3 linked regions of the Stegostoma tigrinum genome follow. The main gene of each other region encodes a partner of the protein of the gene in region 3 in a complex. Links are inferred from orthologs where the notes say so. Each region holds a gene or a part of one and is shown on either strand. Other genes may lie near its edges. The genes, in order: pole3, pole4 and pole.

What was found.
Region 1: pole (region 3) and pole3 share a complex: the UniProt entries of both Homo sapiens proteins name them as parts of the DNA polymerase epsilon complex. The link is inferred for Stegostoma tigrinum from reciprocal best matches to the Homo sapiens genes POLE and POLE3.
Region 2: pole (region 3) and pole4 share a complex: the UniProt entries of both Homo sapiens proteins name them as parts of the DNA polymerase epsilon complex. The link is inferred for Stegostoma tigrinum from reciprocal best matches to the Homo sapiens genes POLE and POLE4.

Annotation. Positions count from the first base shown.
Region 1 is NC_081382.1:5,786,700-5,794,101, forward strand, and holds the start of pole3 (DNA polymerase epsilon subunit 3), read right to left. Parts: upstream 3,051-7,402; 5' UTR 2,996-3,050; exon of another isoform or gene 2,974-2,995; intron 2,960-2,973; exon of another isoform or gene 2,764-2,959; intron 652-2,763; 5' UTR 638-651; coding exon 572-637; intron 1-571. UniProt on the Homo sapiens protein: Accessory component of the DNA polymerase epsilon complex. Participates in DNA repair and in chromosomal DNA replication.
Region 2 is NC_081383.1:26,171,353-26,179,059, reverse strand, and holds the start of pole4 (DNA polymerase epsilon subunit 4), read right to left. Parts: upstream 3,100-7,707; 5' UTR 3,062-3,099; coding exon 2,876-3,061; intron 1,647-2,875; coding exon 1,562-1,646; intron 447-1,561; coding exon 405-446; intron 1-404. UniProt on the Homo sapiens protein: Accessory component of the DNA polymerase epsilon complex. Participates in DNA repair and in chromosomal DNA replication.
Region 3 is NC_081379.1:15,997,997-16,005,589, forward strand, and holds the start of pole (DNA polymerase epsilon catalytic subunit A), read right to left. Parts: upstream 3,057-7,593; 5' UTR 3,030-3,056; coding exon 2,965-3,029; intron 1,317-2,964; coding exon 1,181-1,316; intron 725-1,180; coding exon 644-724; intron 1-643. UniProt on the Homo sapiens protein: Catalytic component of the DNA polymerase epsilon complex. Participates in chromosomal DNA replication.

The sequences.
Region 1 (7,402 bases), on a different chromosome or scaffold from region 3:
TATTATTCACATAGCCAACATGTTGCAATAGCCTATATTTAAATTTAAGGAACTTACTACATTTTAACTGGGGCATTAACAATGAAGTGTGTGTTCTGGTACTTGACCATCCCCTGATAGCCAATTTCAAATTGTATGTGATATTATAAAAGCAATGTAAAGTGTGTCCTTGTATTGATTATTCACATCATTTCTCCAGATAACAAATGCTGCATTTATTCAAATTATCCTTACTAATAGAAACAGTTCTGAAGGGTCACTTGTCTCAAAACATCAACTCTGCTTTCTCTATTTATGCTTCCAGACCTACTGAGTTTCTCCAGTAATTTGTTTTTGTTTCAGATTTCCAGCATCCATTCATTGTTTTAACTTCAAATGGCAAAATTCTGTCAAGAAAAGTACTTCATTTTATAGTAACTAGTGAACAACTAAGCAGTGAGAATTTCTTTTTAATTCGGAAAATTTATTATCTATCAGATGTTATCATAAGGCATAAAAATATAGTTCACAATCTAGTAGAGTCAACCGCGCAAAATCTGTGATTACAGATGCTTGTCTAATTCACGCTCACCGCCTCTTTAATAATCCTAGTAATGACTGCATTTGGTAGATTCAAGTCTTCCGGTCTCTCAGCCATCTTTCTCACATAAACTACAAATACACAAACAATTCAGTTAGATGTGTTAAAGTCCAGGGCAGCTGAGACATTCCTCAACTCCAAAACTACCATAAAACTACCGGCCAAGATGTAATACCTTGGACAAAGGTCTCAGGAATATGGAAACCTTTGGATGCAAGGTAACATAAGCAATACATGTTTAGCAGTTTGGGCATAGAACATAGAACAGTACAGCACAGAACAGGCCCTTCAGCCCACAATGTTGTGCCGACCATTGATCCTCATGTATGCACCCTCAAATTTCTGTGACCATATACATGTCCAGCAGTCTCTTAAATGACCCCAATGACCTTGCTTCCACAACTGCTGCTGGCAACGCATTCCATGCTCTCACAACTCTCTGCGTAAAGAACCTGCCTCTGACATCCCCTCTATACTTTCCACCAACCAGCTTAAAACTATGACCCCTCGTGCTAGCCATTTCTGCCCTGGGAAATAGTCTCTGGCTATCAACTCTATCTATGCCTCTCATTACCTTGTATACCTCAATTAGGTCCGCTCTCCTCCTCCTTTTCTCCAATGAAAAGAGACCGAGCTCAGTCAACCTCTCTTCATAAGATAAGCCCTCCAGTCCAGACAGCATCCTGGTAAACCTCCTCTGAACCCTCTCCATTGACATCCCCACATCACCAGATGGTCTCAGGTATAAGTTTACCACATATCACTGAGGATACACTTAATACAGAGAATTCCAGACTGGGATGGTTCTACTGCATGAAAATGCCATATTCAGAAGGATTTTGCAGTGGGGATACTGCACTGGGATAAATTTATCATGGGTGTGCCTCTGTACTGGGGTTTTTTCACTATGGGTCAGATCTGTTACAAATTTGAAACACTGGATGCTGTACACATGGGGCAGGGTATCAAAGGGCTGCCAACGTACTTGTACAGTTGTCTTTTGCAAATCCAAAAATCATTTGGGAGATGGGAATTTTAAAAAACACAAAAATACAAAAGAATTCAGCTAAATTATTTAAAGGACAATTAAATATACACTAGCAGCTAGTTTTGAATTGTCAAAATAATTGTGACATATGACTCAAAAAATGTTAAAAAGAAAAACACTTTTTGCTGTCTGCTTACAACCAATGTTCTACTGTATACACTGAAACAGGCCTCTACTTCAGCACCTTTACTGCAGTATGCACGGCGCACTGAAGATTGTCTTAATGAACCATTAAACTGAGGACCCATCTGCCTGCGCACACAGGCACAAGATCCCTGACACTGTTCACAGAAGAGCGGAGAGACACAGTTAACTTTCCTCAGCAAACATCACTGAGAAAAAATTAACTGCTTCCATTGCTTTTTGTCAGTTCCAAATTAGTTGTTGACCTATACATACTTCAAAAATAACTGATGCACTGAGAAATACATTGGGATAGCCCAAGGAAGTGAAAGGATAACAAAAGTATAAACACTGCTCAATCTAAGTTGAGACACCTAACATGCATGTCTCTTCATCCACTTTTCAATCTAACGATCAATATTGATTTAGATTTTATCTAAGCCACCAACTCTGAAAGTGAATTCCATGTGACCACATTATACAAGATGTTTCTTCTGATCTATTGTTTATATTATTTAATTCACATGAATCTCCATGCTCACTCAAAGCCTCAACAGTAGTTACAATTCATGCAGCCCAACACTGTATAGGAACTTTACATTGGATCTTCATTAACCTTGGTAGTGATTCTACATTGAAAAGCTGGCCCAAACAAAAACAAGGCAGATATTTATTTAACAGTCTACACAATCTCCAAAAATTCCATGGGACTTTTCAGACAAAGAAGTGCAACCATCACAGCAAACTCCCACAAACACCAACGGGATAAATAACCAAAGATGCTGGTACAGAGATACATATTGAATAGGACATCAAGGATAGACCCTATTTTCTGTACTGGAAAACTGTGGCATTGAACATGACAGATGAAAGACGCCGTAATCCAAATTTGCCCCTCCGAAAATGCGTCACTGTCTCTCTGGGCTGCTAAACAACCGTACAATGGCCATCTAGTGTTACCGCGCTCCCTCAGCACTGACCCTCCGACAGTGCCCGCTCCCTCAGCACTGACCCTCCGACAGTGCCCGCTCCCTCAGCACTGACCCTCCGGCAGTGCCCGCTCCCTCAGCACTGACCCTCCGGCAATGCCCGCTCCCTCAGGTGGTCAGTTGCCCGGCTCTGCAGACGGCCTAGCCCCGTGCCCTGCCTGAACTGAACCGTCCACAGCCCGCCGCCATGACACTGAGCACCTCATTAGAATAACGGCCACCCACACTCTCACCCCGTCCCTCGCGCGCTCTCACCCGCCAGCAAAAGACGTCCGCAGCCTCCCGCAACCTTTCACCCCTGACCCCCTCCGGAACGCCTGATTGGACGGCTGCTGTGGCGCGTGAGCTCTACCCGCGTCATCTTCCCGCGCTTGGTTACCGAAGGCTGCGGCCTCCAGCCAGAGGCGCCGCCTAAAGGCGCTGGAGAGGAGTTTCACCGCTGCGTGAGTAGTAAGGAAAGTGGTCCAAATTACAAGTGTTATCTCCCAAACTAGTATACCCGGCACTAAGACACTGATCGCTCAAAACTAGCACTGCTGGGTAGGACGTATTCATATTGTCATGACCACGGGTCCCAACCTAAAGTACTGTTAATATTTTTAGCTCATAATTCCGAAGTGGATTTTAAAAGAGAGGCAATCCATAGGGCCATAAGTAGCTGCAGATGTAAATTAATTGACTGACTGGAGAGAAGGATAGCCATGGAATGTCGCACTTAAAGGTGGAAAGGGAACCTTAACCTTTTTCACATACATACAAGAATACACAAAGACAGGGATGTAAAAAGCCTGTTCACTCTGCCAGCATGTGCTCCAGAGGACCTAGGTTCTCGTGTGCCAGTGGGCTGACGTTCCCCTGTGTACGAAGCTCGAATTGAATGTCGGTGCTTTGCAATCATGGATAATGGGAACTGCAGATGCTGGAGAATCCAAGATAATAAAGTGTGAGGCTGGATGAACACAGCAGGCCAAGCAGCATCTCAGGAGCACAAAAGCTGACGTTTCGGGCCTAGACCCTTCATCAGAAAAGGGGGAGGGGGAGAGGATTCTGAAATAAATAGGGAGAGAGGGGGAGGCAATAGGTCAGTCCTGGGAGGACGGACAGGTCAAGGAGGCGGGATGAGATGGTACGTAGGAAATGGAGGTGCGGCTTGAGGTGGGAGGAAGGGATGGGTGAGAGGAAGAACAGGTTAGGGAGGCAGAGACAGGCTGGGCTGGTTTTGGGATGCAGTGGGGGGAGTGGAGATTTTGAAGCTTGTGAATGTTGCAGAAACAGCAACTCATATTCCGCTTGGGAACCCTGCAGCCCAATGGTATCAATGTGGACTTCACAAGCTTCAAAATCTCTCCTTCGCCCACTGCATCCCAAAACCAGCCCAGCCTGTCTCTGCCTCCCTAACCTGTTCTTCCTCTCACCTATCCCTTCCTCCCATCTCAAGCCACATCTCCATTTCTTACCTACTAACCTCATCCCACCTCCTTAACCTGTCCGTCCTCCCCAGACTGACCTATCCCGTCCCCACCTATGCTCTTCTCTCCACCTATCTTCTCCCCTCTCCATCTTCGGTCCGTCTCCCCATCTCTCCCTATTTATTTCAGAACCCTCTCCCCATCCCCCTCTCTGACAAAGGATCTAGGCCCGAAACGTCAGATTTTGTGCTCCTGAGATGCTGCTGGGCCTGCTGTGTTCATCCAGCTCCACACTTTGTTATCTTGCTTTGCAATCATTGTCTAGTTTAATCATTGCAGGTAAAGGGAACCTCTTAATCTGAGTGCTCATTACCAGTAGCTGGGTAGCCAGAGAAAAGTTTGAAAAGACAACAGAAGGACTATATCACCCTGAATGCCGTCATTCATCCACAATCAAAAGGAATCAGAAATACAGGATTTTAATCAACATGCAAATGTAAGACTTGAAACCAACTCTTCAACTTCCAGTGTCAGTGTTGCCAATAAACCCCACTGTCACAGCCATATTATTCAACGTTTTGGGAACAATTAGGAGACAGATCTGAATACAGTAAACTTATTAAGCAGAACCCATGGGACCAGGAGTATGCAGATTAATCAAATATTCTGGTTGATCAAGAGGTTCATCTAATCAATGTAAAAACACACACTTAGTGATTGAAATGTAATGTCGGGTGTCAATGCCCATTATGTGTCTACTCAGGCATTGTGAGGATCACGATAATACAGTTAATTTCAGTTATGTAATTTTTGCCGTTTTATCAAGTGTTGGTTTGTAGGATGCTAGTTAGTACAAAGTTTGCTGTATCTGCTTTTAAAAAATTTTATCTTTTAGATCTCACTTTTTTTCTAACCTGTGTGCTGTTACAAATTCTTGCTTTGAAAACGCAGGTTCATTTGGATCTGGGAGAAAGGCATCTACAAGAGAGAAGATTTGCTTTTAAATTAAACATGTTGAGACCAACATGGCTTGGGTGAATAAAAAAGGAAAAGGCAGTTAATTTTCCCCTGTCTGCTTCTACTTCACCTACGGGCTTAACAAATTGTACAAACTGTCTGGAACCATAACAAGTTGGGGGATCTTGCCAAGGATCCAAGCATAAGAATATGTCGAACACCATTCTTCTGAAATTTCTTTTCTAATTGGAACTCAGTCCTTGGTGTAGAAAATTTGAGAGGATACCTCATTGACAAGGGAATAGTGGTCAGAAATACATTAATATTAATTGTCATAGTGATGGGATCTTTTATTTCCAAATGAAAAGAATGTAGATGTGAGTTTGCTCGCTGAGCTGGAAGGTTAGTTTTCAGACGTTTCGTCACTTTTTTTTAATTGATTTGAAAAAATATACTTTATTCATAGAACATACAAAAAATAAAACATTTATACACCTACCCAGTCATACAAGCTGCTCCGGGTTACCCAGGGGGTACGTGCACCAACTAAAAGGAAAAAACAAAACAAAGGAAAAAAAAAACTAAGCAAAGAAAATACCCCGGCAGTCGTCTCCCCGCACAGTCCCCGTTGGCCCCCTGACCAGTTGGGGAAGGCGCCAGCTGGACCCAGTTACCAGATAGGGCCCTTGTTTCTATTCTGGACGAGGGGTTTCATACGGTGGTCTTTCCCCACCGTGTCTTGCCAGCAGCTGCCCCAAGATTTAGCGCATCCCTCAGCACGTAGTCCTGGACCTTGGAGTGTGCCAGTCTGCAACGCTCGGTCGGGGTCAGTTCTTTCAGCTGGCAGACCAATAAGTTGCGGGCAGACCAAAGAGCATCTTTCACTGCATTGATGGTCCTCCAGGCGCAGTTGATGTTGGTCTCGGTGTGCGTCCCGGGAAACAGCCCGTAGAGCACGGAGTCCCGCGTCACGGAGCTGCTCGGGACGAACCTCGACAAATACCACTGCATCCCCCTCCAGACCTCCTGCACAGACAGTCTCGTCGCCCCCGCAGCCGCCTCAAGGGCAGTGTGCGGTGGTGCAGAGATTCCAGGCATGCATAAAAGATATCACTGGCAGACCCCCTCTCACTGCCAGCCAAGCAATGTCCTTGTGCTTGTTGGAAAGTTCTGGCGATGAGGCATTCTCCCAAACGACTTTGGCAGTCTGCGTGGGGAACCACATGACGGGATCCACCCTCTCCTTTTCCCGAAGGGTCTCAAGAATACTACGTGCTGACCACTGCCTGACAGCCTTGTGGTAAAGGTGTTTCCTTTCAAAAATTTCTCCACGAAGGACAGGTGGTACGGGATGATCCAACTACTCGGAGCGTTCCGCAGCAACGAGGCCAGGCCCATCCTTCGCAACATCGGGGACAGGTAGAACCTCAGTAAGTAGTGACACTTGGTGTTTGCGTACTGAGGATCTACGCACAGTTCGATGCAGCCGCACACAAAGGTAGCCATCAGGGCGAGGGTGGCATTCGGTAAGCCCTTTCCCCCATTTTCCAGGTCTTTGTACATGGTGTCCCTGTGGATCTGGTCCATCCTCGACCCCCAAATGAAGTGGAAGATGGCCCGGGTGACCGCAGCGGCGCAGGTCCAGGGAATAGGCCAGGCCTGCGCCACATACAACAGTACCGAAAGCCCCTCGCACCTGACAACCAGGTTCTTACCCGTGATGGAGAGGGACCGGAGCGTCCACCTTCCCAGCTTCTGCTTCAACTTGGTGATATGCTCCTCCCAGGTCTTAGTGCATGCCCCAGCTCCACCGAACCAAACACCCAGCACCTTCAGGTAGTCTGTCCTGACGGTGAAGGGGATGAAGGAGCGGTCGTCCCAGTTCCCGAAGAACATAGCCTCGCTCTTACCACTGTTGACTTTGGCACCTGAGGCCAGTTCAAACTGGCCACAGATGTCCAACAGCCTACTCACCGACCGACGATCGGTACAGAAGACGGCGACATCGTCCACGTACAGGGAGGTCTTGACCTGAAGGCCTCCGCTGCCCGGGATAGTCACACCCTTCAGGCTCACGTTCTTCCTGATGGATGCGGCGAAGGGCTTCACACAGCACACGAACAAGGCAGGAGAGAGCGGGCAGCCCTGCCTGACTCCATATCTGACGGGAAAAATGTCCAATTCCCACCCGTTGATCGAGACTGCACTAACAATGTTGGTGTAGAGCAGCCGGATCCAATTGCGGATCCCCTCCCCGAACCCCAATTTGGAGAGGACGTCCCTCATGTAAGCATGA
Region 2 (7,707 bases), on a different chromosome or scaffold from region 3:
CCAGATCCACAGCAATGTGGTTGACTTTTAACTGCCCTTTGTGCAATTAGGGATGGGCAATAAATGCCAGTCTAGCCAGTGACACCTCATCATGTGAATGAATAAAAATGGTCCCGACAATTTGATTAAAGGTGCTTTTAAAAATAGATTAGAAAAGTAATTGAGTGAATGGAGGGTACATTGTATTAATGCAATAATTGTTCATGTGAAAGATTAACAACAGTCTTGACAGACTGTGGAAGTCAACTAGTTTCAGCCTTCACATCAGTAGCTCGACTCAAGGTAATTCTATCTGCTGCACCTTGCAGCGGCAGTGCCTTCTCCACTGGTGTAGGAAGGACTGACAGGAGAAAACAACAAAACAAAACAACGTTATGGCTGTTAAATAAGGAGGAAGGACTCACCTTCCAAAAATGCAAATTCATCTGTAACATCAACTGCATTGTCTGAAAGAGAAATAAAAATACAATATCTAGCAACTTTGACAACTTCCAAACAAACCAACAATTGACTATTTCATCACTGCAGTCCCACCTTCACACAAGATTAGCTCAGCACTTAAATGATTTGTATGTAAATATAGGAAGTATGATTAGCAAGTTACAAATGACATCAAAATTAGCCGTGTACTGTACAGTGAAGAAGGTTACCTATGAGTACAACAGGACCTTGATTAGACAGGCGGAGGAATGGCAGATAAAGTTTAATCTAGATAAATGTGAGGACCTTATACTTTTAATGGTAAGGTCCTGGGAAATGATGCCGAACAAGGAGACTTGCACAGAGCAGTTTCATTGTTCCTCGAAAGTGGAGTCACAGGTAGACAAGGTGACGAAGGTGGCATTTGATACACATGTCTTTATTGATCAGTGCATCGAGTATAGGAGCTGGGAGATCGTGTTGCAGCAGACAGGACGTGGATTAGGCCACTTTTGGAGTACTGCATTCAGTTGTGGTCTCCCTCCTATAGGAGGCATATTGTGCAACTTGAAAGGGTTTACAAGGATGTTGTCAAGGATGGAGTGTTTGGGTTGTACGGGGAGCCTGAATAGGCTGGGGCTATTTTCCTTCGAATGTCAGAGGCTGAGGGGTGACGTTATAGAGGTTTATAAAATGATGAGGGACATGGATAGGGTGAATAGTCAAGGTCTTTTCCCTAGGATAAGCGAGTCCAAAACTAGAGGGCATTGGTTTAAGGCGAGGGGAAAGATTTGAGGAGGACCAAAGAGGCAACTTTTTCATGCAGAGGGTGACGCACCTATGGAATGAATTCCCAGAGTCAGTGGAGGAGCTTGGTACAATTACAACATTTTAAAGGCATTTAATGGGTATAAGAAAAGGAAGGGTTGAGGGGGGATTTGGGCCAAATGCTGGCAAATGGAACTAGATTAATTTAGGATATCTGGTCTCCATGGATGAGTTGGACCGAAGAGTTTGATTCCATGCTGTACTTTTCTATGACTCTGACTTGAAAACACAGCCACTCACATACATTGTAATGCAAAGACCTTTTTAATGCTGGCAAAAACAGTCTGGAATAACAAACCGCTGACAGACTCACCCACATCCTTTCGTTGGATGGTTTTACGCTTGCCCCGCAAAGCAAATGAGTATGCATCCTTCGCAATCACTTCAACAAAAAGTTCCTTTGGGAGAAACCAAATACAGTGTTCAGTCACTGTAGTACCCAGGTTGCTCAGTATACACTCACTCTCTCCAGGAACCCAGTATACTGCTCCAGTTCTCATACAGCTCTCATCTCTGTCCTGAGCAGGAGTAGCATTTCCTCCCAGTGTTTCTCTCCACAATGAGGAAAGTTGCTTTTGCCTCATTATTAAACAATAAACAGATGCCAAGATACTAGTTTCCTTAAGAGTTAAACTAAATTAAAGTATTCTTATGCAAGACAATCATTGTCACCGTCATCAGGGATTAAATGATCCAGAATCCAGCTCCATGTCTGTTTTTGCCCCGTATCCCTTAAAATTATTGACCTAGATTTAAAAATATTTAAAATCTAAATGTTTAAAAGCGTCACAAACTGGTGCAGAAAATAATCATGAAAGCTAATTCTTGCCTTTATATCTACAGGACTAGAGTACATGAATGCAGAAGTTAACACTTCTAAACAAAAAGGGTGGTACATGTTTGGAATTCTCTATCACAAACTGCAGTGGACGCTGAATCGTTGTTAATTTCAAATGTGAAACAGGCAACTTTTTGTTAAGCAGTGGTATTATGGGATACAGGCCAAAGACAGGTAGACAGATTTAGGTCACAGATCAGCCACAATCTTACAGAGTGGTGGGGCAGGCTTAAGGAGCTGAATGGCCTCTAACTTATTTCTATAACTGCTTGGAGGTGGGGGTCAAAACTTCAACTACCCTTGTATGTCAATAGGTATCATTACTTTTCAAAAGTCTGGCTCTACGGCTTTGATTATGCCCTCTAATCTGGTGGCATCTATGGAGGGGGGTGGCGGGGAACATCACTTTAATAACTCTTCAAAAAAAAATGCAGCAACGTTTGGTTTTTATTTTAGTGGTCACACTTCTAGAATAAAGGATGTTTAGTTCATTATTATTTTTCTTCAAGGAATAGCTACACCGAAGAAGATCTGAAGTGTCCAGTATTTTACGTTTATCCTTATCTCTACTCGTAATTTACCCCTGGAGATTACTGTGGTAAATATACTATGTACCCTCACCAAGTAGCCCTGAGCTCAGCACCAAACAAGAAACACGGGCAACGACCGAGCGAACTGTCCCCGCGAGGGCAGTCCGGCCACACTGACTGTTACGGCCTGGAGCGGTGGTGGTGGTGGCAGGGGAGGGAGCTGGGTGGTGGTCGGGGAAGCCGCCATTCACTCACACACCGTGGCCTTGCCGATGGCGAACACAGCCTCCTGACTCGCCAGCGAGACATCGGGATCAGCTTTCATCAGCCCCTTGATCCGGCTCAGCGGCAGCCGCAGCAGTTTATGCTGTAGGCCCAGCCTGTCCACCTCGGCCTCCAACTGTAGGCTCTGGCCCGGCTCCACTCCACTCTCGCGCTCCTCCATCAGCCGCCTTCCCGCCACGCCGCCTGCCGCCCCCAACAACCACCAATCAGAACGCGAAGTCACCCCTCCACCAATCACAGCAAGCATAGGCGGGCCAGTCACGACACTGGACAGAAGCACCAATCACAACACAGTACAGTAACGCCAATCATCAAAGGGCGCGCAAACAGTCCAATAGCACGACTGGGGGAAGGGGTGTGGTCCAATCAGATGGTGCAACATGAACTTTTCTACCCAATCAATCGGCTGCAATTAGGGGCAAAGCTCAGTTACAAGAAGGGACCATGCTGGAGATTCTCAACAGCCGTTGCCAGATGTGATGAGTGCTTCCAGCATTCACAGTTCTTTTTCTTTGTTTAAAGCACAGCAAAGTAGAGACGTTTTGGTTCATTAAGTTTGCCGACCAGGCTATATTGATCCCACTTTCCAGCACTTCCCTCGTAGTGGGAGGTGATGGCCTAGTGATAGTATCACTAGCCGATTAATCCAGAGACCCAGGTAATGTTCTGGGCAATTTAAAAAATTTGGAATTGTATGTCTAGTTATGACAATGAACCGTTGTTGATTGTCAGGCAAACAAAAGGGAAAGAAACTGTAATCCTTATCTGGTCTGCAGTCTCCATGTGACTCCAGATCCACAGTAATGTTGTTGACTCTGAACTGCCAATGGTAATGATTGTTGGTGTAGCCCACATCCTCTGAATGAATTGGAAAAAATAGCCTGGAGTGTTATGACGTTTCAGTTGCTTATCCAAGCATTTTTGAAGGTTGAAACAAAAACTGAAGTTGCCTGTAAAGCTTAGCAGGTCTGTGATGAGAAATCAGAGTCATCCTTTCAAGTTTGGTGACCTTACCTCAGAATTGACAGTGGCTAGCAAAATGTCTCTGTTTAGTCTCCTTCAACAGTTAGTCACTATCCTAGTGAGATCGTTATCCACTTCATTGTCCAATTGTTCTTCTCACTCTTTAGGCCCTATTCCCACTTATCATTTATTCCCTACACCCTCCCCCACACTATCTACTGCATATAAAATAACATTTTCTTAGCTATCATCTGTTCTGAGGAAGGGTCACAGGACTGGAAAAATTATGCTGATTTTTGCTTCATAGATGTTGCCAGACCTCCTAAGCTTTTCCAGCAATTTCTGTTTTTGTTTCTGATTTACAGCATGCACAGTTCTTTCCATTTTTAAAAGTTGTGAGATTTCCCATCTTTTCTTCTCTCCCAGTCTGTGCATTTGAGGTTTCCATCACCCTCTGAGTGAAAAATGTTTTTCCTCAAATCCCTAAAGCTCCTGCCCTGTATCTTAAAATTATGGCCCTTTGCCATTGATCCTTCAGTTAAGGAGAACAGCTGCTTACCCACCCTGTCGATGCCCCTCGTAACCTCATATGTCTTAATCATGTCCCCCCCTCAACCTTCTCTGCTCTGTAAAAAATGACTTGAGCCCATCCAATCTCTTGTCGTAGCTAAAATGCTCTAACCCATGCAAGATCCTGATAAATCTCCTCTGCGCTCCCTCCATTGTAGTCACATACTCACAAAGAAGTGAATTAATACTTGCTTCTGCAGTGCTCAGAATGGAAGAGGTTGATTGGGCTTAAAGTTGTAAATTGTGGCTGAATGCACTCCAAGAGTGTCCTGGAAATGTTGATCTTAAATCCTTGGAGATTCCAGGACTCTCTTGGAGGGATGATAATTTTGTCCTAGGTCAAGACAGATTGGTAAAGGGTGATGTAGATTGTTTCATGTTCAAGGTGGAGTTTAGAGCAATCAGATATCGATGTTGAGGTTGCTTCCGAGTAGTTGGTCTCACATCTGTGAAGGCTGGAATGCAGTGCTCTCATACCTGTCCCAGAACACCAACTTTGATTCCAAAATGGAGAACACACTGGCCTAGGCTACACTGTTGAGACTGGAGAATGATTCTGTCTGAAATGAAGCTGTTGTACACCATTGGTCTCTACAAGGAGGAAAATAATTCCTTCTTGTAGAATTTGCAGTACTTTAGCAGGTTATTCAGCCTACTGTGTTGAAAGTTTTCAATAATTTCCACTGCCCAGTTCTTTCTCCTCAGCGCTGAGATTTATTATTTTTAAAAATACCTTATGAGGAAAGTGAAGTTTTGGCATTTGCATTCCAAGTCAGGAACATAGTGTGATGCTCATCAGACTAACGCACATCAAATCAGAACACACTGACGCTGCAGTTAAAGTTAGTCATTCTTCTGAAAAGCTAGATGAGATAAAATGAATTTTATATCTACTTTTCAGAATTCCTTGTGCTCTGTAATTCAGTATTAACTGCCCATTTCCATAATCTGTGGCCTTCTGGGTGAAAGTCGCTCTTTAACTCCATTGCTTGTTCACTGTGAGCGCAATTACATCCACAAGAAGCCTTCCCAATACACAGTGCGCCATTTTGTCTTGCAGTAAGAATAGTATTATTAGATTAAGATGAGCATTGGACAGATATCTTTCAACTGCTGGGAAATACATGATCATACATCTATTGCCAAAAGGGCAGTTTGTTGTGTGCAAGGAAGGGCGTTAGAGTGAATTCCAAACACAGCTTCCAGTGGAAGGGGTGTTACAAATCATTAACCAATGGTGCATGGAGCATGAGGGTTTTTATTCCATGGTGTTGGAAGAATTGGAGCGAATTGAAAGAAGTAGTAGTTCTCTAATCTTACCTACTTTGTCCGGTCAGTTATGTTCTAATAATGGCATGCAATCTTGAGATATCCAGAACCACTGACATCTCCCCACACAAGGCTATTATGACCCGTTCCATTCTTTTTCTTTCTGTGAATACCTCATTGTCATTCCCTGCACGTGATCTGTCCCATTAATACCTGTGAGTTAGCATCTGAGAAAAAAAAAAATAGATCTTTACTTTGGTCTTTTGGCTACCAGGGAAATGGATGGAACTATTGTTTTATAATGGAGTTAGTTATAAGTTACTCAGTGCTTGGAAATAATTCTGCCTTGTCTGCTCCTGGTCCTGCAGAAGCAAAATGAAAGGGGATGATTAACTGAATTTAACACATTGACGGATGGTGCAAGAAAATTCAATAGCCTGCTTCCTCTCCAAGTTGGCTTTTAATTTATGCAGCAACAACTTACTTCCCATCACCCCACCCAACATAATTTACCCCTTCTTCACAGGAGTAATGCTCCTGTTGCTCATTATTTTACAAATTAGATGAGTTACAAATCACTTGAGAGTGGCCCACTCAATAAGTTCAGGTACATATCTGAATTATCTCTTTCTATTCTGTTGAAAATTTGTCTAGGTAAAATTCTTGTTTCTGATGCTTCTGTATAAGTTGTCAAATCAACCTGGATGCTGGGTTCACCCTGAACACATGGCTCAGGCTGGGTTCACTATCTCGTCTGACACAAGTGTTTGGCCCAGAGAGACAAAGACAGAAAGTTAAGCATAAGGTGGGGGCAAGAATACTTGAGTTCACAAATCACACTATAGTGGGCAAAATAGAGAACAACAACAATTCATACTTATGTAGCATATTTAACAAATTAAAATGTCTCTTCACCGGTGCATTATAAAACAGACAGGCATACACATGGATGCATATACATACAAGCACTGTACTTTGCAGTAGCAATGGGACATACACACACAAACCTCTATGTTCCTCCTGCTGTGGCCTTTTGCGCATCCCAAATACCATCTACAAGATGCTCTGCAGTAATTCACCAAGCCTCCTTCGTTAACACTTTCCAAATATATGACTGCTATCACCTAGAAGGACAAGGGCAGCAGCTATATGGAGCACCTACACCTGCAAGTTCTCCTCCAAGCCAAACCATTCTGACTTAGAGCTACATTGCTGTTCCTTCACAGTTGCTGGGTTAAAATCCTGGAACTCTCTTTCTAACTGCACTGTAGTGGTCCCGACATCATACAGGGGGGGCTTCAGTGGCTCAAGAAGGTGGCTCACCACCACCTTTTCAAAAACTGTTAGGGGTTGACAATAAATGCTGGCCTAGCCAATGACACTCACACTGCGAACAAATTTTAAAAATCACTTTGCTCCACAATAGATGGCAATGCTCTAAGGTTTTGGAGTAGATCTGTAGCTTGGGTTGTGGGCGTTGAGGTTGGTTGGCTCACTGAACTGTTTTGTTGTTCTGCAGACGTTTTGTTACTGTGCTGGGTAACATCCTCAGTGCAGCCTCTGATGAAGCGTCGGTGTGTTTTCCTGCCTGGTTTTTAAACTCTGGGGTCCGTTATGATGGATTGCCTCACTTCTGACATGTTCACAGTTGACGCATGGTCGTGACAAGATCTTCTTCAGTTAAATACGTTGCCACCAATGCTTCTTTAAGTATTAGAAGGATGAGCCACAGATCAGTAGTAGGTTATGATTTATTACATAATAGTGGGGAAGTGATGGTGTTATCACTGGACTGTTAATCCAGAGACATAGATAACATTCTAGGGACCCAGGTTCAAATCTTGCCACTGCAGATGGTGGAATTTGAATTTAATAAATATCTGGAATTAAGAATCTAATGATTACAGTGAATCCATTGTCAATTAGAGGAAAAACCCATCTGGTTCACTAATGCCCTTTAGGGAAGGAAACTGCCATTCTTACCTGGTCTGGCCTACATGTGAC
Region 3 (7,593 bases):
CCTAGGATACTAACTTGAAGAACTCCTGTGGAGACGTCTTGGCGCTGAGATGACTGACCTCCAACAACCACAAATATCCTACGGTATGACTCTAGGTCTGACTCCAACCAACATGCCCCTGATGCCACATCTGTCAAATGCAGCCTTGATGTCAAAGGCTCTCTCTCTCTCACACCTCACCTCTGGAATTCAGCACTTTTGCCCATGTTTGAACCAAGGCTGCAAAAGAGGACACCAGTTGAGTGGGCATGGTGGAACCTAAACTGGTGCCACTGAGTAGGTTATTACCGAAAAGCTGGTGTATGATAGCACTGTTGATTACATCTTCCATCACTTTACTGTGACATACTCTCTATTTTCCCAGCTGACAGCTGGGAAACATTCAAAAGGCTCAATGCCATTCACCATCAGAGAATAAGAAGCTCACTTGATGCACTCCCCATCCATCATTCGGTCAAAAACCCTAGAGCTCTTTTCGCAACAGCACTTTGGACACAGTTATACCAAATGGACTGCAATGGTTCAAAAAAGCAGATGACAACCACCATCAAGGGCAATTAGGCATGGGCATCAGATAGTCTAGCTAGCAACATGTACATCCCATGAAGGAGAAAAAACAATCCTTACATAAATTGTTACACACCTTGAATCTGCTCCCATCCTCTTCAACAAAATAATAATCCACAGCACTGATCAATCTCTTGTCTTCATCCAGGAGTTCTGCCTGTAAATCAAAATCAGCATAGAGAGCAAATAAATGTGGCAATTTACAAATACCTAAAATAACTGTATACAAATGCATGCAAATTATCATTTCCCCGAACTTGAAAGATTAACGGCACTAAACCACATGGAACATATTTGAGAAACCTACATCATCAATATATCACAATACCAAAATTTAAAAGTACAGCTCTTCCCCAGGTTGCAAGCAGGTTCCATTCTACAGTCCATTCATATGTCAACTGGTATTCAAGTCAAAACACAAATTCAAAATAATAGTTAGATGGTCAATCAAAAGCACAGGAAACGTTTGTATGTCAGATTGTTAAAATTATAGCCCTGTTTCAGATTGTATTTGTAAGGACAAACACTTAAGTCAGGCATTCGTAAATCAGGGCCCCTGCTGGAAAATGGCTGTTTAACTTTGAAACAAGGTTAAGTTAGAAGGATAACTAACTGGGTGCATGTTGATAAGCCAACCAGTCTTCTCGCCTGGATCTTTAAGGCGGTCAAACCCAAATCGTGCATCCATCTCATCTGTCCACTGACTGCGCTCCAGGCGCTTGAGTGCAGGAAGGGAGGAGCCATCCTCACTGCGAGAGCAAAAGCACAAGAGATACCATTAAATCATCTGCAAAAGGGCAGTTTATCACTAACAGATGAATGGACTAATGTTTAATTGCTCCTGCCTCCTTGGACTCAAGGAAATTCCAATCTTGCCCTACAACAATTAACACACTTTAAAAGAACTACAGTGGCTGCAAAATACTTAGGGACATAGGGAGGCCATAGAAAGAATTATAAAAATGTAAATCTTACTTCATTCACATAAAAATTAATTGCCATAATAAATTTGAGTATTCCATTCTGTTTATGACTAATCAACATTAATGTGCTGACGCAAAACAATAAATCAGAGGTTTTATACCTAGAAGCATCAAGAAGTGATAAAAGGTTGTAGACCTGAAACGTTAATAATTCTTTCTTCACTGCTGCTAGCGACACACTCAGTGAAAGAATTTTAAGAAATATTTAATTGGTCATTTCTGTAACTGAAAGAAAAACTTTTTTGTTGCAATCTGTGAAGTTGTGTGAGTAGAGCAGTAGTGCTCAGCTCTTCAAATGCAACACCAATCAAAATGATTTTACTGATCACATTTCTACGCAGTAATGTGACAACTTAGTACAGAAGAGTTTGAGAAGTATTTTAAGAAATCACATTCCCAAGGATCCATACATCAACCCATCATAAACCCTGCTCATATCCTATTCCACAGCTGGCTCCATTGCCCACTTCGGCACAATCGAAAACTCGTTAAAACACATCAGAATGCATTTTATTTGTCTTAAAATTTAGTGTTTTCTTCAACTCTAGAAATTTAAGGAAAGATTACTTTACACATTTTTGATTTAAAAATGCCAATAACAGGCCTGACCTACATCAGAATTAAACAAGCATAATTACAAACAGGCAGCACCAAAACTCACTTCGTAGATTCATAGATAGGCTCATCCGGTTTCTTCGGTGCAACAATATTTCCTTAACTCAAATCAAAAAATAATCCAATGACACTCAAATTATTTAGAAGTCTTCGCACAATCTCACACACCGAAGAGTGCGGCAGAAACAAGATATGTAAATTGCAACATTAAAATGTTTCGTAGATATTGAGACTCGAACGCTAGGCGATTTTTAGTTTCAACAATCAATTGCTGGTAGAGGCAGCACAAAACAAGGTAGCAGTGGAGAACGGAAAGACGAATAACCTACACCTGCCTACTACAATAACAGTGAAATAAGGCAATCAGACCGAACGAGAACACACAACACCAAAAACAAAAAAGTGCTGGAAATCAGATCAGATCGGGCAACATCCTCGGGGAGAGGGCAAGCTAACGTGTCATGTCTAGATGAGCTCTGTACAGTCATCTAGACTCGAAACGTTAGCTTGCTCTCATCCTACAGTGCTCTCTGATTCGCTGCGATTTCCAGCACTTTTTGTTTTCAGTACAAATTCCAGGACCTGAAGTAATTTGCTCCGAGGACACAGCACCAACTGGAAATGTGGTATAGTGAGTGGCCAGCCTGCAACAACTGAAAGGCCTGCTTGATGTCAATGTTATGAACTGCTGGTGTGTTTCTGACTAGAGGCATCCTTCGTCTCCCAGGAACTATAGCTAAAATTTGTTGCTAAGTAGTTATATTCATCGGTACTGGCAACAAACAATGTTGAGACTCACAGATTGCTAGTATCGGCCACCGGCCGTCTCTCAGCTCTTAGCTTCCCACTGTTCTGCAGCACCATGTCTACCGCTCATTCACTCAATTCGCGCGCTCTAGTATCTCTCGCGAGATCTGGCATTAGCATCACCGCGAGATCTTACCACGCGCATACTGACTGGACAATATCGGAAGGTTTCTGATTTGATGAAAGAGCGGAACGAGCATATTGACCCCGCCCACTTCATACCGTACGTCTGAGAGTAAAAGGGCAGCTTGGTGAAAGAAATCTTCATTGGAAGGAAAGGCATCTTATTGATAGCTGTCTGCACTCATTTCAGTGACAGGTTTTACCTCCCTGATTTGGCTACAGACATTGATTGTTCAATTAGTGGTGTTTGGATTGTTTTGAATTTGTGAATGGCCGCAGTATAAGGATGAGGACTCATAATCCGCCTTTTCTTGAAAAATAAAATCAGACAACACTGGAAATAACCAGTGGGTCACACAGCAACTGCCAAACGAGAAACAGCGCAGAATCATTTTTTCAGGTCGTTGGGACATCATGTTGCAGCTGGATAGGGTGTCGGTGAGGTTACTTTTGGAGCACTGTGTACAGTTCTGGTTGCTCTGCTACAGGAAGGATCTTATTTAATTGGAGAGGGTTCAGAAAAGACTTTCAAGGGTGTTAGGGGTACTGGAGAGTTTGCATTATATTGAGAGGCTGGAAAGCCTGGGACGTTTTTCACTAGAGCATTGGCAGTTGAGGAGTGACCTTATAAAGTCATGAGGGGCGTAGATAAGGTAAATAGTGCAGTGATTGTAACAGGCAGACGTCATTGAATATGAGTTCCCTGATTGGGATGGTTAACCTGGTCAAATCAAGGGGCTCGGGCTGACATGTATAAATAAGAATGACAGATGTTCTGTTCACTCGAGAGCTGCAACAGTATCAAGGATTCTCTACATATAAGTAAAGGGTGATTTGGTGACAGCACATCAGCCTCTGTGGAGGTATTTCAGTGGCGAGAAGAGATAAGCACGCTCCTGAAGAAATTTACTTGCAACAGTCATCTTTGAGTTGGGGCAAGCATTTCTGGCATTGTACCATTATTTTGGAAGCTTCACTCATTTGATCCTGCCATCAAAGACTGGACCTAGAATCTGGAAAGTATGTGTTTTTTTTTCCAGGCAGTGACATTGGGGCAGATGAAAAGCAAAGAGTGATTCTCCTGACAGCTTGTGGACCTGCAGCTTTTTTGGTTATTAAATTTGAAAACTTTTCAAAGGTTTTAGTATCTGTTGCCACTTTTAAAGTGGACATCATGCCTATTTCTGTGCAAGAGATTTCTATCATCTCAGCATGTCTGTGGTGATTCTTCATTCAAATTTTTCCTGTTTTCTGCTCTTGCTCCCATTTGACTTCAAGTAGAAACTAATCCTGTTGAAAGACATTTTTAAATCTGTTTCCACCTGTGATTCAGGCAGCAACTTGCTGTATTAATTTTAAGTTTTTTAAAAAATCTCTTAAGTGATCTTTTTGCCAATTATTCTAGCTGTGTAGCCTTCAGTTCCTGAACTTCTTGCTAGTGCAAGCAGTTTCAGTCTACTCTGTCAAAAACTGACATAGTTGTGGGGTTGTACAGCATGGAAACAGGCCATTCAGTCCAATTCCTCCATGCTGACCAGATGTCCAAAATTAATCTAGTCCCAATTGCCAGAATTTGTCCCAGGATCCAGGCTGGACACCATTGTAGGTTTTGCCATGGACCTGAAACAGCAAAAATGTACCACTAAACCTAAATGTAGAATGTGAATTCATAGGCTAATATCCAAGAGAGTGGACAGCCTAGAAAGTCTAACTAGGTCTGGTTTGTAACAGTTAAATTTCTTGTCAACATCCAAATCAGATCCAATCAAAATAAATATTTGGTTAAATGGTCACCTGCCTCTAATGGAGCTTGATATTGGTTCAGCCATTTCAGTGATCACAGAATCAGTCTTTAACAAAATTTGCTCTAGTCTCAACTCATAAATCTGCACAAGTCCTCAAATAGACTGAGAACCTTTATAGATTAAGGGTACAACATTGGTTCCAGTCTCTTATGAAAAACAGCTGGTTCAGTTACCACTGCTTGTAGTAAAAGGCTTGGGCCCAAGCCTGATGCAGTGAAATTGTTTGAGAACGATTCACTTAGTTTGGCTCAACATTTCTTGATTAGAAAATGGCAGGCTGAATGAAGTCTGAAATACCCAGAGGATGTTCAGGAAGGTCTAGGCACTATTGAAGGTGACCAGCGAGCAATTCCATGATTTGCAAAATCCGCCCAGTGCCACTTGCCTTGTGGGCAAAAATAGATGCAGAAATCAGAAGGCTGGAAAGTGAAGGAATCATCAAATCAGTCCAGTTTGCAGAATGGGCAGTACCGATAGTGAAGCCCAATGGGTCAGTTTACCTTTGTGGGGATTTTAAACAAATGGTAAACTGCTTTTTGCAGCTGGATAAATACCCACTCCCTCACATAAAGAACTTATATGCATAGTTGGTGTTAGGGTTGGGGGGATCATGTCCTTTACATGGACATGAACCATGTATACTTGCAATTGCAGTTAGGTGAGAATTCCCAGAAGTATGCTACTATTAATACCCATAAGGGTTTGTACCAATATGAGAGACTGCCATATGGAGTATCTTCAGCCTGTGCAACTTTTCAGTGGACAATGGAGAACATTGTATGAGGTCTACCCCAGGCTGCCTTTTATCTAAATGATGATCTAATAACAGGGAAGACCAGTTAGGAGCACTTAGAGAACTTGGACATAGTCCAATGTTTCTCCAAGACAGATATATGCCTTAGAAGGGAAAAATGCATGTTCCAGGCCCCCAAGTGACCTACTTGGTCAACAGAGTCAACAAGACTGGGCTGTACATGTTGGAAGATGAAGTGAGTGTGATCAAAGGTACCCCAGCTCCCATGTCTGTACCAAAGCTTAGATGTTTCATTGGGCTGGTGAATTATCACTGAAAGTTCATGCATAACTTGGACTCCATTCTTGCACCTTTGCAACAACTCTTCAAAAAGGGTCAACCTTGGAAATGGTTGTGTAGCCCAACTGTAGCTTTTGGGAAATAAATAAACAGCTATTGCTATCTATGGTGTTGGCACACAATTATCCCAAGCAAGCTTTGCTATTGACATTGATGCCTCCCTGTAAGGCATCGGGGTAGTGTAGGCTAGGCTAATGAAGAGGAACACCCAGTAGCGTTTGCATCCAGGACTTTAGCTAATGCAAAGTGTAAAAACACTCAAAAGGAAGTTACAGCAGTCATATTTGGAGTAGGAAGTTGCATCAATACCATTACGGATGTAAATTTGTGATAATAATGGACCACAAATCCCTCAGGCCGAATTCAGCAGTGGGCTCTAATACTAAACATGTATAATTACAAGTTCGAGCACTGTCCAGGAGCCAAATAGCAAATGCAGATGGTTTTGGACGCTTCCTACTGGCAGATGCACTGCTGGTGGTACTGCCACTAGAAGAGTCCATAATAGTTTTAAATTTTCTGGACACATTTCTAGACACAACTGACAGTATCAGACTTTGAATGCAGGAAGATTGGCAAAATTGCAACAGCTGGTGGTGATGGGAGAAACCAAAGGTAGTCACAACCAGAATTTAAATGATTTTGGACCCAGAGAGAGCAGATTGCAGTACAGGATGACGTTATTATGGGAGCAAGAGTGGTTACACCTGAGCAAAGGTTGCTGCCCAATACTGGGTGAACTCCACCAGGGTCATTCAGGGGTTTCCAAAATGAAGACAGTAGCAAGCACTTATGTCTGGTGGCCAGACTAGATGCAGATAGCTGCATTGGTGAGGCAGTGCCCAGAGTGCCAACAAGGACAAAAATTACTGCCAGCAGCTCCCCACATTTGTGAATATGGCCAGGTAAGCCCTGGACTCATGTCGAGTATGCAGTATCCTTGGCTCAATGTTCTTAGTCATTGTGGATGCCCACTCAAAGTGGCTGGGCATGCATAAAGCTCATTTGTCAAACAAGGGGTTAACAAAAACTGCACGCATCTTTTGCAAAGCAAGGACTCCTGGAAGTGTTGATCACAGATGATAGGCCATCGTTTACCAACAGGGAAGTTGAGTATTTCCTAAGATCAAATGATATTCATCACATAAGGACAGCTCCATATCATCCATCATCCAATGGTCTGGTAGAAAGAGCAGTCCAAACTTTGAAGACAGGCTTAAAGCTTAAAGAAACAGCCTACAGCTTCACTTGATATCAAACTGTCCTGGTTCTTATTTGAATATAGGACCACTCCTGCACCCCCCCCCCCCCCCCCAACATCCCATTCAACTACAGGGATAGCTCCACCAGAGTTGGGGGAGGTTGAAACAGTATCAGGAATGCCAGGGCTGGACACAAGACTCTGCTAAGCAATAGAGACAATTTACTTCAGGGAACAAAGTTTGATGTATGAACCACGGGAATAATCCTGCATGGGTAAGAGACATAGTTGACTTGAGGTCAGGTCCAGTGATGTACAGAGTTTGGATAGGATTCATGATCCTGAAAAAGCACATGGACTTTATGAAAGCTGCAAACTTGTAAATGGTGCAGGAGCGAA